Sus scrofa: one gene and its partners. The protein of the gene in region 1 purifies or fractionates together with the protein of each later gene. This does not show direct contact. Links are inferred from orthologs where the notes say so. Each region holds a gene or a part of one and is shown in the gene's direction. Other genes may lie near its edges.

Evidence for each region.
Region 2: the proteins of SLC9A6 (region 1) and CLGN purify together in Homo sapiens (co-immunoprecipitation; 3 studies listed by BioGRID and IntAct, with this or other methods). This does not show direct contact. The link is inferred for Sus scrofa from reciprocal best matches to the Homo sapiens genes SLC9A6 and CLGN.
Region 3: the proteins of SLC9A6 (region 1) and MBLAC2 purify together in Homo sapiens (co-immunoprecipitation; 3 studies listed by BioGRID and IntAct, counting the BioPlex papers as one, with this or other methods). This does not show direct contact. The link is inferred for Sus scrofa from reciprocal best matches to the Homo sapiens genes SLC9A6 and MBLAC2.

The regions. Positions count from the first base shown.
Region 1 is NC_010461.5:111,174,668-111,180,272, forward strand, and holds the start of SLC9A6 (sodium/hydrogen exchanger 6), read left to right. Parts: upstream 1-1,865; 5' UTR 1,866-1,896; coding exon 1,897-2,224; intron 2,225-5,605. UniProt on the Homo sapiens protein: Endosomal Na(+), K(+)/H(+) antiporter. Mediates the electroneutral exchange of endosomal luminal H(+) for a cytosolic Na(+) or K(+).
Region 2 is NC_010450.4:86,618,873-86,624,551, forward strand, and holds the start of CLGN (calmegin), read left to right. Parts: upstream 1-2,247; 5' UTR 2,248-2,385; exon of another isoform or gene 2,386-2,435; intron 2,436-2,689; exon of another isoform or gene 2,690-4,963; intron 4,964-4,969; 5' UTR 4,970-5,075; intron 5,076-5,679. UniProt on the Homo sapiens protein: Functions during spermatogenesis as a chaperone for a range of client proteins that are important for sperm adhesion onto the egg zona pellucida and for subsequent penetration of the zona pellucida.
Region 3 is NC_010444.4:97,634,496-97,639,047, reverse strand, and holds part of MBLAC2 (metallo-beta-lactamase domain-containing protein 2), read left to right. Parts: intron 1-3,096; coding exon 3,097-3,482; 3' UTR 3,483-4,552. UniProt on the Homo sapiens protein: Acyl-CoA thioesterases are a group of enzymes that catalyze the hydrolysis of acyl-CoAs to the free fatty acid and coenzyme A (CoASH), providing the potential to regulate intracellular levels of acyl-CoAs, free fatty acids and CoASH.

The DNA.
Region 1 (5,605 bases):
GCAGCTCAAGGCTTGGGATCTGGAGTTCATTTCTGCGGAGGGAGAAATAAAACATTCTAGGGAGAGTCCGGAGAAAACAAAAAGCCCACAAAGACTGAATGATCTAAGAACAGAGAAAATAGGAACCCACTGTTCTCAAAGAGGTGAAAATTCTGGTTCGAGAGGTAGGGAGGCTTGAGGACAGGGAAAATATTCTTTGAGGAAGACAAATGAGAGATGGTGTCAAAGGTGACTTCTGAGCTAGAGAAATCTGCTTAACTAGACATTTCACCAAAGAAGACATACCGATGGCCAGCAGGCACATGAAAAATGCTCAACATCACTAATTATTAGAGACATGCAAATCAAAACTACAATGAGGTACCACCTGACACCAGTTAGAGTGGCCATCATTAATAAGTCTACAAATGACAAATGCTGGAGAGGATGTGGAGAAAAGGGAACCCTCCTGCACTGTTGGTGGGAATGTGACTTAGTACAACCACTATGGAAAACAGGACGGAAATACCTCAGAAAACTAAATATAGAACTACCACATGACCCAGCAATCCCACTCTTGGGCATATATCCAGACAAAACTTTCATTGAAAAAGATACATGCACCTGTATGTTCATTGCAGCACTATTCACAAAAGCAGAGACATGGAAACAACCTACATGCCCATGGACAGATGAACAGATTAGGAAGATGTAGTACATATATACAATGGAATACTACTCAGCCATAAAAAAGGACAAAATAATGCCATTTGCAGCACCATGGATGGAACTAGACTTTCATACTGAGTAAAGTCAGAAAGAGAAAGACACACCATATGATGTCACTTATATGTGGAGCCTAAAATATGGCACAAATGATTTATCTACAAAGCAAAAGACCATGGACATGTAGGACAGACTCCTGTTTGCCAGGGGGCAGGGGGAGGGAGTGGGATGGATTGGGAATCTGGGATTAGTAGATGAAAATTCTTGCATTTGTAGTAGATGGGCAATGAGATCCTGCTATATAGCACATAATCACTTGTAATGGAACATGATGGAAGATAATGTGAGAAGAAGAATATATATATATATGTATGTTTGGGTCACTTTGCTGTACAACAGAAATTGACAGAATGCTAAATCAATCATAATAAAAATTAGAAAAAAAGATGAGGAGCAAGAGGAGAAACCCTCCACTTCACAAAAGATTTCTTCTTGGGGAGGGAGGGGAGTATTTGGAGAATGGGTAAATTTGAGCACAAATCGATCAAATCTTTGTGAGATGGAGGAGTTTATCTCTAAGAGATAACTTACATCAGGTAAACGTTTACGTGTAAAGACAACTGAACATACATACACATAATCCTTGCCTTTAAGTCAATTATTGATGAACTACTACAGTGCTGCTGTTTTTTTCCGAACGAGGACAGAACAAGGAGAATCCGATTTAAATTAGAGATGGAGATGTAGGCCCCTCCCAAGAGGACAACGTCTCATCCTGTTAAGAGACACTGGGGGACAATATTCAGATGGGTTATGAAAGATCGATTCCCCTGCGAGCACTAAGAATAGGATCAAAGTAGACAGAGCACAATCTGCCTCTGCTTTGATTACGCTGAGCCCAGGCTTCGTTTCCAGAAGGGACTGTACTGGATTCGACGGCCTTGCGTTGCGGCGCAGCGGGGCCTGGGGGGAGCTGGTGCGGCGGGGGGGGGGACGAAAGGCCAAAAGGATGGGGCCCAGCGAACTGGGAGTGTCGCGTCCCCTTTAAGGGCGGTGGCGGCGGCGGAGGCGGCGGAGGCGCGCGCTCCGAAGGCTTCCTGAGGCCCCGCCCCTTTCCCGTGAGCCCTCGGGGCGTGGTCCGACCGCGGGCGGCTGCGGGTGAGGAGCGGGGCGGGGGGTGGGGGGAGAGTCATGGCTCGGCGCGGCTGGCTGCGGGCGCCGCTCCGCCGCGGCGTCGGCGGCGCCAGCCCCCGGGCCCGTGGGCTCACGCGGCCGCTCTGGTTGCTCCTCGCAGTGGGCGTCTTCGGCTGGGCCGGGGCTTCGGACGGCGCTGGGGGAGCGGCGAGAGCCATGGACGAGGAGATCGTGTCAGAGAAGCAAGCCGAGGAGAGCCACCGGCAGGACAGCGCCAACCTGCTCATCTTCATCCTGCTGCTCACGCTCACCATTCTCACGATATGGCTCTTCAAGCACCGCCGGGCCCGCTTCCTGCACGAAACCGGCCTGGCTATGATTTACGGCAAGTGCCTCAACCCCGTGTCCCCCGCTGGCGCTCCCCCTTTCTCTGCCCGCCGGCTGCCTCACCTCCGCTCCCGGCCCTGCTCGGCCTGCGTTCGGCTCCCCTTCCAAGTCCTTCCATTTTCCCCGTCGCCTCTCCCCCCCCCCCCCGGTTCGTCTTCCTCGCCCCCTTTTTCTGCTACGCCCCTCCTTTCTCAGCCTCACCCCCGTTTTCACCCCCGCGCCCCCCTTTTCTCTGCCAGTCCACACCTTTTTTCCTCCGACCCCACCCCCTTTTTTCTTCCGCACCCCCCTCCGCCCCCCGCCTCTGCCTGAGGATGGAAGGGAGTGGGTGCGGTGTCTCGGATTGGGCTGGGGACTGGGGGAGGGGAAGCCAGCCTAGCGATCCATTTCTCCGGGGGTGTCAGTTTGCTTAAGGGCCGTTGAGGCTGCAGTAGTCTGTCTGCTGCTCTGAATCTGGCGTTCTTCTGAAGCCAGAGTCCACCTTTCCCCATCACCCAGGTCTTGCTTGCTACGCCCTGTCCTTTGGAGGTTGAGAATGCAAAGTAGACTGTTGCCCAAGTAAAAACCTGAACACGAAAGAAGCTGAGGAAGGCTTAGGGCTTTTGAAATGACGTCCTGATTTATTGTACTATGCTTGCAATATCTGATATGGATACAGATGATTGAACCTGATCATTCAGGCCGTGCCCTGGTGAAGAATAGGTGAAGATCTTCCAGCAGCATGTTGTACTATGGCATGAGCAGGACAGTTCAGCCAAAAAGTAAATAGGAACACCATGCATATGCAGTATTATGGGTGACTCGCTGGTGGCATAGGTTATGGACAGATCATTGAGTAAAGGGCTTCAGTTCTTGTGACCTAGTGTGCTTTCTTTTTGATGTTTCTTATTTATCTTTATTTTTTGGTCATGAGGAGAGAAAGGCAAATCAAGCCATGGACTCCGAGGCATTTTGGCCTGTGCTGGGGCTTCATGGGAGGAAAAGATGAATATTGCTGACTGTCTTAATCTAAGATGACCGCGAGGCCATACATGGCTGGAGAGATGAGGGCAAACAATCCTTTCTGGGCAGTGCATGAGTGAAGATTATCTTCATTTGGAACAGGCTTAAAGGGATGAGATTGCTCAGCTTTGTGTCTCAGACTTGCAGATAGGTGGGAGAAGCCTTGGCACAGAAAGACATTTCTCCATGCGCCCCCCCCACCCCCACCCCTTTCCAGTAAATACAGACTTCTGGAATGTGCAGCTCAAGGGTAGCATAGCAGGGGAAAGTTGTTGTGTGCATCAGGAAAATGCATGAACTCCAGCTTATTTTTCATTTGTGGGGTAATGAAATTCTAAGTATGTATGCTTCCTAAGATTCTTAGTTTTTAGATGTATTGGGTGGTTTTCATATTTCATGTTTTTTTGCATTTTCTATACAGCATTCCTTAAGCTAAATTGGCCAGATAAGCTATACATCTCTGTATAACTGTGTGATTTATTTACTGTCCTCCACAAACATTTGCTACTCAGCCTGCTATGTTATGCACAGAAAATGTGAAGAAATATATGATTCCTGCCTTCAAGGAACTTATCCTTCTTCGGTAGACAGGTTATATAAAGAAAATAAAGGCATCTTAAATGCCATTAAATGCCAAGTGATTATTATGGTGTGAAAATAAGGAACTGATCGCAGAAACCTCTTTCCTGTCCAGAGAGATAGTATGATGAAGTGGTTAAAGATATAAGGCTGTAGACCAGAGGTCTGCACATTTTTTCTGTAAAGGGCCAGAGAGTAATTATTGTTGGCTTTTGGATCACATCAATCTATGTGCTGTGAAAATGTGTTGCGTTTTCTTCTTTGTTTGTTTTTTTTTTTCTTTTTACAAACCTTTAAAAAGATAAAAGCCATTCTTAGTTCTTGCGCCCTACAAAAACAGGCCACCACTGTGATTTTCAACCCCTGCTTTAGAGTCAGGCCTGGGTTCCTGTCCCACTGTGCCAGTAGCTCTGTGTGATCTTAGGTAAGTCCCTTACCCTCTTATACTGTCAGCTATAAATTAAGGACAATGATAGTAGCTTTGTTGTGAGGGAGAAATGTTTTAGCTTAGTACTTGACCCCTAAGTAAGTGCTCATTAAATGAGTGCTGTGATACTATTATTATTGCTATAACTGCATTTTCTCAGGTTAGGCTCAGAATAGTTTGTTTAATTGCTTAATCTTTAAGTTTAGAGGCAGACGTCATATTTTTGAAAAATCAAATAGGGTCTTAGAATTGCCCTGAAGCTATTTGCTCTTTGGTAGTTGATATCATTAACCTTCTCTAAGTCTTGGGCTAGGGGAGAAAATTGGGATAACTGATTTGCATTCCCTGGTGTTTCTAAGTTAATGAAAAGTGATGGCGTACCTTAGTGTCAGTATTTTGTGAAGGAAAAACAAGGCTATCTTTTGTGGAATATAAAGTGAAAGAGTGTTATCTGGGAGTCACATCGGGTTGATTTCCCACGACTTGGCATTCTTGAGCCTGTCCCATTTTCTCAATATGGGTGATGGGGGCTGCGGATGCACAGCCTCCTGACTAACTCCCAAGTCCAGTTTGAGAATAGATGGGGTTGGGTCAAAGTATTGTCAATGCTACGGAAACGGACATTTTCTAATTACCACCTGTCATTTATCTTTTCTTACAGCTCTTGTACCATTATTGCTATTATGTTAATATATTATTTTAAGGACTTTATTTTTCAGCTTGACTTCCAGATGAAAATGTCTAGACCTCCAAAATTCAGCCCACTGATGATTGAGTTACCTAAATCCTGGAAAAATGCTACTCAGAATAAGCTTCTCCTTTATTTTTTTGAGAAGCAAGAGTTAAAAAAAAGAGAGATTAAATTGCCAATGTGGTCAGTTTCTAGATTGTAATAATAGCCTAATTGCTCCAGTTACAAACACAATGTCGAAGCACCCAAGCGTTCTGTTCATTGGGCTAGCTTACTTAAGAAGCTTAAAAGTGAGTCACTGTTAGTAAGTCTGAAAAGTGATCACTCACTGCAGTGTTCTTACGGATAGTGTAAAAGGCTAAAGACAGGGAAGCAGTATTTATTATGCCTTAAACTATAGCATCCACAGTCCCAGCTTTAACTAATGTGACTCATCAATAAATATTTATTAAGTGTCTTTGATGGGTGAGATACCATAGGAAACACCGATGTGAGTCATCATCCCTGCCCTCAAAACACTTACAGTCTGGTGCCCGAATAGGTGGTGTTTATTGAGCATCAGGATCTTTAGACACTGCTAGGCGCTTCACAAATATCAGCTCACTTAAATCTCATGAAGACCCTGTGAGATAGGTGCCACTATCGTTCCCTTTTTACAGGTGAGGAAATGGGGCACAGAG
Region 2 (5,679 bases), on another chromosome or scaffold:
CACTCACAGCTTAGCATACAGAAGATAAATGCTCCATAAATGTTTACAAGATTCTCAGTAAGAAATCCACGAAAACACTTGAGCTTTCTATTCTGAATTTCTATTAAATTATTAAAATAGATAAATAGGTATTCCTTCAACATTCTAAGAATGACTAAGCTAAGTATAAGCATCTCAGAGTTTCAATAAATCTTCACATAAATGGCAGGTTAATGGCCTATTTAGCTCAGATTTCTTGTTCCTTAAATTTTTAGCTTTTGGCTTCTTCACTGTAAACTTTGAATGGATCGTTCAGAAATTATTTTCTAAAAAGTCAAATGTTATCTGTTACGGGCCACAGAATTTTTATTTTTGCTTTTTAGGGCCACACCCCTAGCATATGGAGGTTCCCAGGCTAGGGGTCTAATCTGAGCTAGAGCTGCCGGCCTACACCACAGCCATGCCAGATCCTTAACCCATTGAGCAAGGCCAGGTATCAAACCTGCAACCTCATGGTTCCTAGTCAGATTTGTTTCTGCTCCGCCAAACAAGAACTCCATGTTGTGTAACAGAAGTTGGAAAGCCTAAAGAAAGATATTAAGAAAACAAAATTGTTACAAAGGACCTCAAATAAATTTGTCTTTTTAAAACCCATAAGTTAAACACAAATACATTCCAGACGATGACAGCATCAAAAGTTTAGAAATACGGCTGCATCTACACATGGAAATTCTCAGGCAAGGGGTCTAATCAGAGTTGCATCTGGGAGGTAGGCCAGAGCCATGGCAACACTGGGTCCCAGCTGCTTCTGCCACCTACCCCCAAGCTACCGGCTACTGCAGGATCCTTAATCCACTCCTTGAGGCCAGTGATAGAAGCCGCATCTTCAGACAGACAACCTAGGAACCTGCTTAGCTACAATGGGAACTCAATGATCTTGATATCTAGCCAATAATCACATCTTGTGCTTGGCACACCATCAATTCCTTTAACTGAGACTCTTTAACAGAGGTATCACAAGTGAAATATTTTATTCTTCCAATAAAACTGAAATAGTGATAATGCCAAAATCAAAGTCAAAATTTACTATCAAACATAAGTAGCGGAGTTCCCGTCCTGGCACAGTGGTTAACTAATCCGACTAGGAACCATGAGATTGCGGGTTTGATCCCTGGCCTTGCTCAGTGGGTTAAGGATCCGGCGTTGCGGTGAGCTGTGGTGTAGGTCGCAGACGTGGCTCAGATCCCGAGTTGCTGTGGCTCTGGCGTAGGCCCGGCAGCTACAGCTCCGATTAGACCCCTAGCCTGGGAACCTCCATATGCCGCGGGAGCAGCCCAAGAAATGGCAAAAAGACAAAAAAAAAAAACCAAAACAAAACATAAGTAGCAAGAGCTACATGATCCAACATCTGTGGGGCAAAGAAGCTTGTGATTCAGTACTATGTTTATCCTGTATTTTTATTTTTAGTGTGTTGGTTAAAAATCATAGGCTCTAAGAGAGACAGACCTGAATCTGAACTCTATTTCCACCATTTACTAGTTAAAGGCAAGTAATCATCTTCAGTTTCTTCCTGAGTTGTTGGGACGGTTAAATGAGATGAATGTAAACCCTTAGAGCACAGCGAGCACAATAAAACAGCATCAGTTCTTTGTTGTTTTGTTCTGCCAAATCTAGGACACGTAGTAAGTTCCGAGGGGCCGGGATCTAACCCCATAACAGCAGTGACAATGCTGTATCCTTAACTCTCTAAGCCATTCAGGGAACTCCAGGAGCAGTTCTTAACAGCAGCTGTTCTTATTAGTTAAACAATTCTTATTTCGAGAAAAAAAACAATGCATTCATTACGTTAATATTTAATATAGGTATATCATATACATACAGTCACGAAATAGTTAAGCCTCCCTGCTTACCGCAATAACTTCTCAGAGCATCTAGAACGCTAGGAAAGGCCTGGCATACTAACCCGATGCCGTTCACACGTGATTTACATAAAATTCAGGGCCCAATTATGTGCAACAGGATGCAGAGCCTCATTGCAGGGGGCAGGCGCTCCTTGGGAGGGAAGTCTTTGGATGGATAACGGGGAATTCCTCCCAGGTCAACCCTGGAGCGGGATCCGCGCTGCAACTGGCCCGCAGGGGCAGCGCAGCGCGTGGTGGGCGGCATCCGTGGCGCGCGGGGGCGGAGCGGCGCCCCTCAGCGGCGGTTGAGCCCCTCCGTGAAGGTGCGCGAGGCGTGCGCCACCCGCCGCCGTCTCCCCCGCCCGCCAGCCGCCGCACGCGCATGCGCAGTTAGCAGTCGCTGCTCCGCGGATGCCTGCGGGATTGGTCTAGGGAGACGCAGGGACCAAGTGGCAGCGATTGGGACATCTGAGCTGCCACTGCCGAAAACAGGCCCGCAAGACAGGTGCGTGGTCATTTGGCTATTTTCCTGCGTCCCTCTGCGCTCGAGCTGGGGTGAGCAGTCGGAGTCCCCAAACCTTCCCTCAAGGCGAGGGTTCCTGCGCCCCACGCCTTTCTTTGGCAACCCGCCGGCGGAACGAGTTGGGCCAGCAAGGGGGTGGGTGTTGAGTTCGGGGACGCCGGTGCAGTCAGTGTGGGGTGGGGGTTGGGCGGGCTCTCCCGGCTTCGGGAGTAGGAAGGCCGGCCCCGGGCGGTGGGATTTGAGGCCGCTTGGGGTCCGTTGGGTTCTCTGGAACTTCTGTGCTCACCTGCTGCGCTGGCGCGGGGAATTCCAGGTGTCCCCCCAAGCCGGAGCTCTTCCTGCGGGTTAAGGGCCCCCAGGGAGCCGTCGGTTATTCCAGCGGTTGCCATTTCGGCCGGTTCCTCGCTCGAGCCCCGGTGCGCGTTCCCGAGGGATGAATGGAGAGGGGGGCTCCCCGGTAGCCTCCCGGCGCTGCTCACTCCGTCGGCTACTTCTCACAGAAAAAGCGAACAGACCCAAAAAAGGCTGCGCCTACGCCCTCCCCACCTCTAAAGGCCAAGGGACCTAACCCTTACAGCGGTGGGGGCCTGTAACTCCGGGCCGCTCTCTTGATGAGCTCCCTGGAGCCATGTGCGCGCCGCTGGGGAGGGAGCGAGAGGCTTGTGTTGAATCCAACGAAGCGCTAATTACTGGAGACTTATTATCGCCGAAAGCCCGTTTACGATCAGATACTTTAGTTGATTTTATTTATAGCACCTGCCCAAGCAATAAGGAGGAGGCGTTTGCTTGGGACTTAAAAGCCCCAAGCCCCTAAGTTCTGAAAGGAGAAAGTGAATTGAATGGTCATGGAAAGAACTCTCAAATTAGAAGAGTTAATTTATGTTGAATTTTTTTGATACATAAAAGCCATCAAAATCCTGGTCTAGCCTTGTGATTTTGCTTGCTTTAAACCTTTTATGTCACTCTGGGTCATTTAATCACTTGAGGTAGCCCTCCTTTGGGTAATCGGCTGATCTCTTTTCAGTTTTGTCTTCACATCTTATTGGTTCTTAAGACCACATTTAGACCTTATTGCGAAATCCTTCGAAGATAGACTGTATTCATTATCTAGTTGATAAAGTTAGTTATTGGGAGGGAATGAGTGTGCTAATGGATCTGTAGAAATGGAGCAGTACTATTGTTTGTTTTCAGAACCTAATAAGTTTTAGTGCTGTTAACGAAAAAGCTAGAAGTATCAACTTTAATGAACCTTTAGATCATCTAGCTTAACCTTTTCCCTTGACAACTTAAAAAAACCACTTGGAACAGTTTTAAACCCTTGCCTTTTAAATAAAAGAACATGAAACTTGGTGCTACAGTGCCATGTTCAGACTACATTCTATCATATTGTAGTTGAGCTATGAAGTTGAAGCTCATTTTGAAGCTTTATTTTGTAGTTCAAACTGTGTGACTACTAAAACTTTTTATTTTTTTGAGATTTAAGAACACATTATTATTTTCGCTTTACACTTTTATGTGATTTCCCCCCCCCAAAAAAAAATTTAGTGATTTTTCAAACACTGCTTTTGAGGCATAGTGTCAGTCAGCCGATAAAACTGAATGGCAGAAAGGCATCTCAGTTATGAGAAATAGCATATAGAGAAGCATGAATGTGTTAATAGATGAGTTTTAAGACTGAAAGAAATTAGTCCTAAAAGGGCAGAATTTATGCTGAGAACTACTGAGAACTCTTGGACACTTTTATAAACAGGTAGTTAAGTAAGACTTTTTAGAAAATTCATGCTGGAGAGAAGGTGGAGGATAGATCTCTTGGCTAGACTGGAAGTGAAGAAGCAAAGTGGGAGTTTACTAATCCTTTTCAGAAATGATGGATTCCTAAATTAGGCTGTGGCATTGGGACAGAAAGAGACATTCAAGAAATACACAAATGCATGTAGTTACCAATGATGTAGGGAGAAAGAGTAGTCTTAAGATAATGGCAGAGTAACTTGGCTGATTTGGTTGACTGGAGGGCAGTTCATGGGAGAAGGGAGTTAAGGAAATAGAGAACTGGTTTGGAAGGAAAGACCAGGTTGAAATTAATGGAGGTTTGGGGACACCCTTCAAGATGGATAGTGATTTGAAACTAAAGAGTAGTTTCTGTGCTGTGGATAAGATTTGGGAGTCTTTAGCTAGCTTTTATAGTTAGAAGTCTGGAGTACAAATAAGGTAGGAAGAAAGCCTGGGGACAGAACCTTGAGGAATAGCAACATTTACAGAAGATTGGAGAAAGAACCCCTGAGGGTGTCAGAGCAAATGAAGAGGACCAAGAGTGGGGAAAGCATCATAGACACCCAGGGAGGAAAGGGCTTCAGAAAGGAGGCAGGGCTTCAGCAAGGTCAAGAGTGAGCACTGAGCTGTAGGGCTGAAAAATGCTGTTGCATTTACCAGCTAAGCCTTGGTTTGTAGGAACTGTTTCTAAGAAGCTAGAATCAAGTACAGGAATAATTATTAATTTTTCATTGATACCATAACAAATAACCACAAGTTTAACAGCTTAATGCAGCATGAATTTATTTTCTCACAGTCCTATAGGTCAGAAGACTGACAGGTCTCACCAAACTAACATCAAGGTGTTGACAGACATCCCTTACTAGAAGCACTGGGAAGATTCTGCTTCCTTGCTTATTCAGGTTGGTAGCAGAATTCAGTTCCTTTTGGTTGTAGGACTGAGGTTCTTGTTTCCTTGTTGACTGTCAGCTGAGGGTTTGTTTTCAGCTTCTGGAGAGCACCCACATTCCTTGGCTCATGGCCCCCTCTCCATCTTCAAGGTCCTCATGGTGGGTGAAGTCCTTCTCACTCTTCATATCTCTTCTGCCCTCTCTCACTGACTTCATTTTCCACTTGTAAGGGAAAAGGAATTATGTTAGGTCTATCTGCATAATCCGGGACACTCTACCAATTTTAGGGTCAGTTAATTAACAATTCCAATTTTGGGATCAGCTGATTAACAACCTTAATTCTATGTAAAAAAAGCCCCCTTTGCTATGTGAAGGAACCCAAATCTTAGGGTGTGGATATCTTTAGGGGGTCATCGTTCTGTCTATGATGGGAAGTTAAAAGTATTCACAGTTAATGGAGATTTTTTTTTTCTAGATGCTTTTGTTAAGGAAAGATGACACCTAGAAATATTTGTTATCTAGCATGTGATAAGCCTTACTGTTTATCCTTAATCTTTGTAACTAAAATGCAAGTATTATCTTAAATAGCTTGAACTTTGTGTGAACACTGTAAAAT
Region 3 (4,552 bases), on another chromosome or scaffold:
TCTTTTGTTGCTACTGTAAATAGAATATTTTTTAAATTCATTTTTGATCATTTACTGCTAGCATATAAAAATAAAATTGATTTTTTATGTTGATCTTGTAACCTGTGATAGTACTAAACCTGGTTTTTAATTCTCTAGTTTTTTCGTATATTTCTTGGAATTTTTCTGCATGTAAAGATCACATTGACTGTGAATAACGACAGATTTACCTCTTTGGAAATCTATGTGACTTTATTCTCTTTTTCTTGGCTTAATGCACTGGCTAGGATCTTCAGTACAATGTTAAATAGAAGTGATAAGAACTGATGTCCTTGCCTTCCTATCTTATATCTTAGGAGGAAGGCATTTACTATTTCTATTTGGTGAGAGGTTAGGTGTAGGTTTTTCTTAGATGCTCTTTATCAGTTCTATTTCTAGTTTCCTGAAAGTTTTTAAAATTACAAATAAAGATTGATGTTTGTCATATACCTTTTCTCAATCTGTTGAAATGAATGTATGGCTTTTCTCCTTTATTTTTTTAATATGGCATAATATATTAATAGATTTTCAGAAGTCAATCCAAACTTACATTGCTGTGATAAACCCCATTTTGTCATTATCCTGTTTATAAATTGCTGTATTTAATTTGCCAATATTTTAATTATTAAGATTTTGTTACTACATTCATTAGCAGTATTTGTTTGTAGTTTTCTTTTTACATTGTCTGGCTTTTATCAGGGTGAAAGTGAATTGGAAAGTTTCCCCTCCTCATCTATATTCTGAAACTCTTTATATAAGATTGATATTTTCTCTGTCTTAAACATTGACAGAATCGATCAATGAAGCCATCTTTCAGCCCAGATCTTCTTTGTGGGGAGATTTAATTATTGATCAGTCTCATTGCTAGATATAGGTCTAGTTAGAGTGTATTTCTTTGATCATTTCTGCTCATTTGTCTCTAAGAATTTGTTTCAACTAAGTTGTCAAGTTTCTTGGCTTAAAGTTATTTCTAACATGCCTTTATACTCCCTTTAATTTCTTTAGGGTCTATAGTAATATCTCCACTTTTATTCTTGACTTTTGCAATTTGTGTTTTCTCTAACTTTGTCTAGCAAAAGGTTTATCAATTTTGCTGATTTTTTCAAAGAACCATTTATTGTTTTCCGTGATTTTCTCTGTTGATGTTTGCTCTCTGTTTCATTTATTTCTTCTCTGGCCATTATTTTTTTTTCCTTAATACTTATTTTTGTGATTGATTTGTTCTTCTTTAACTGACTTCTTAAGATAGAAACTTTAGTTGTTGATTTTAAACATTTACTGCTTTATAAATAAGCCTTTTTCATTTTGGCCACATATGTAGCATGCACTAGTTCCCAGGCCAGGGATTGAACGTACACCACAGCAGCAACCCAGGCTGTTGCAGTAACACAACTGGATACTTAACTCACTGTGCCACAAGGGAACTCCCTAAATAAGCATTTTAAGCAAAAAAAAATTTTCTTCTAAGTATGCTTTAGCTAAAGTCTATATATTTTGATATGTTTCAATTTTCATTTAGTTCAAGTGATTCTCTGATCTCCCTTATGATTTCTTCTTGGATCCATAAGTAGTGTATAAATGTGAGTTTACTTATTTGGATATTTCCTATTTTTTTAAATATTGATTTCTAATTTAATTATGTTGCCATCAGCGAACATACCTTGTATGATTTTATTCCTTTTACATTTATTGAGTTTTATGGCCTAGCCTTATAGCCTGGCAAATTTCATGTGCAATTGAAAAGTATGTATACTTAGTTATTTCAGGGTAAACTATTTTATATATGTCAGGTAGGTCAAGTTGATAGTAATGTTCAGATTGTCTGTATCCTTAATGATTTTCTATATATTTATATTATGCATTATTCAGAGAAGAATATTTAAATCTCTAGGCATAATTGTTGAACCGTTGATTCTTTTTTCAATCTTGTCAATTTTACTTTATGAATTTTTAGTCTCTGTTTTAGGTACATACACAAATTTATTTTAGATTTTTTTTCATGCATTGACCTACTGTATATCATAAAATGTACCTCTTTTCTTTAGTGATATTCCTTATATAAAAATCTATTTTTGTCTGATAATATAGCCACTCTAGATCTCTTATCATTAATATTTAATATATGGTATAACTCTTCAACCTATTTTTGTCTTTAACTTTGTAATTCCTCTTTTGTAGACTGTGTATACATCTTGCTTTTCTAGGTGGTTGGGCAATCTCTGCTTTTGATTAGAATGTTTATCCCTTTAATATTTAATGTAATTATTGCTATAATTATATTTAGGTTTGCCATTTTGTTATTTGTTTTCTATGTCTCATTTCTTGTTTATCCCTTTATTTTTCCTTTTTTGTCTTTTTTTATGTTTAGCAAATTCTGATTATTACATTATACATTTTAATTTTGCTATTTTTAGCTATATTTCATTGATTTTTTTTCTGTTTTTGTATTTTTGCACTAGTGATAACAGTATGACTCTTTTAACTTATTATGATTTACTTAAGTTAGTACTAATTTTTAAATCCAGCAAAAGAGCAATTTTGTATTAATATAGCTCAGTTTCCTCCCTACTGTCAAATATCTGGGAAGAGTTTGAGATTTTACCCTATTTGCAAGTTAGCAAGTTAGCCTGCCACAGTTTAATGGATTTTGACAGAGGACATGAGGTTCCTGGTCAGAGATGAAGAACAGTTTATTACAGCAATAGCAGTAGCTAGAGCATCATCATTTGTACTGATTCCTTAAGGCTTAATTCCCATAATGTGACCCCCCCCCAAAAGCAAAAATATAATACTGTGCACTAGAGCACCATTCACACCATTCATGAATTATGTCACTAGGATACTAGTACAGTGGATATTCTGAAAAGATTTTTGTTTTGAAGTTTTGTGGTGAAATAAATTTGAGAAACTATACAGCCGTATCTCCCTTGGGTATATACACAATGTACATTAGTATATTAAATGTACACTAGCTATCATCCTTCCCAACATCTTTGAAACCATTTAGGGTACTATGATTTAAGTGATTAAAGGCAAATATATAACATGTTTATCTGTAAATTTTGTTTCCATTTATAGGGGATGTAATTAACCTTGGTGACAGACAACTCACTGTTATGCACATGCCTGGTCATTCCAGGGGCAGTATTTGCTTACATGACAAAGACCGAAAGATTCTCTTCAGTGGAGATGTCGTCTACGATGGATCACTGATTGATTGGCTCCCCTACAGCCGGATAAGTGACTATATTGGAACCTGTGAACGTCTGATAGAATTAGTGGACCGAGGTCTGGTAGAGAAGGTGCTTCCTGGGCATTTCAATACCTTTGGTGCTGAAAGGCTTTTTCGATTGGCTTCTAACTATATTTCAAAAGCTGGGATATGTCACAAAGTTTCTACCTTTGCCATGCGATCTCTTGCAAGTTTAGCCCTACGTGTAACAAATTCTAGGACCTCAGCCTAGTATCTGTACTGGTAATCCCTTTTGATTAATTCTGTAAATTAATCCAGTTCATTTTGTGTTGTTTAAAGTAGTGAGCATTTCAAGAAGTGCTTTTATACTACTATTGTATATTAGAGGAAAAAAGGTTGAGAATGAATAAGCCAAAAAAGGAACTTCTTAGTTTAATTTTTTTTTTCTTTTTTCCAAATAAGAAACCACTTAAATAAGCTTATAATTTGCCAAAGCTTATAATTTGACATCATGTTGTAATGTTTGCTCTAGAAATGACATAGAAGTATATGGGGAAACGAGAAGCATTTTATAGTACAAGAAAGAACCATCCAGAAGTTCTCTTGTGGCGCAACAAGTTAAGGATCCAGCTTTTTCACTCAGCAACTTGGGTTGCTGCTATGGTATGGGTTTGATCCCTGGCCCAGGAACGTCCACATGCCACAGACATGGCCAAAAATTTAAAAAAGAGAGAAAGAACTATCCTTGCCTCTAATTTATTTTATTTCCTAGATGTCCTAGGAAAAAGGGCATAAAGGGTTTTATGTTTATATTACAAACTTAATATTTTTAGTATATTATTTAAAGATAAAGGCTTTGGGTTTAAAATACATTAGAACTCAAAACAAATATTTAAACTAATATTTGGAATGACAGGTAAAACAATCCATTGTTATGGTACGGAATTTTCATGTTTAATTTTATTTATTTTTAATGTAATTATAGTGTACATTATGTGTTGTGTAATTTACTTACAAAAAGTACAATGAGTTTTGTTTTATTGCAAAGCTTTAAATATAAATTGCAGAGTGCTTCAGTAAAAAAGCTACTATATATTGTTGTTTGTTGTTATGTAAGTGTAATATTTTTAATGATAAAAGTGAAATTCAAATGTCTGTCCTCTACGAATTGTCAAATTTCTCAAAAGGACACTGTCAGGCAAATTTGAAAATATACACATTGAGAATAATTTTTAAATTATATCCTATTTTAATAATAATAGCTATTATAAACAAAAATTTTTTGTTAAATAGCAGCTTCAGTATATGTGTCATATTTTATAGTACCAAAACAAGTACAGA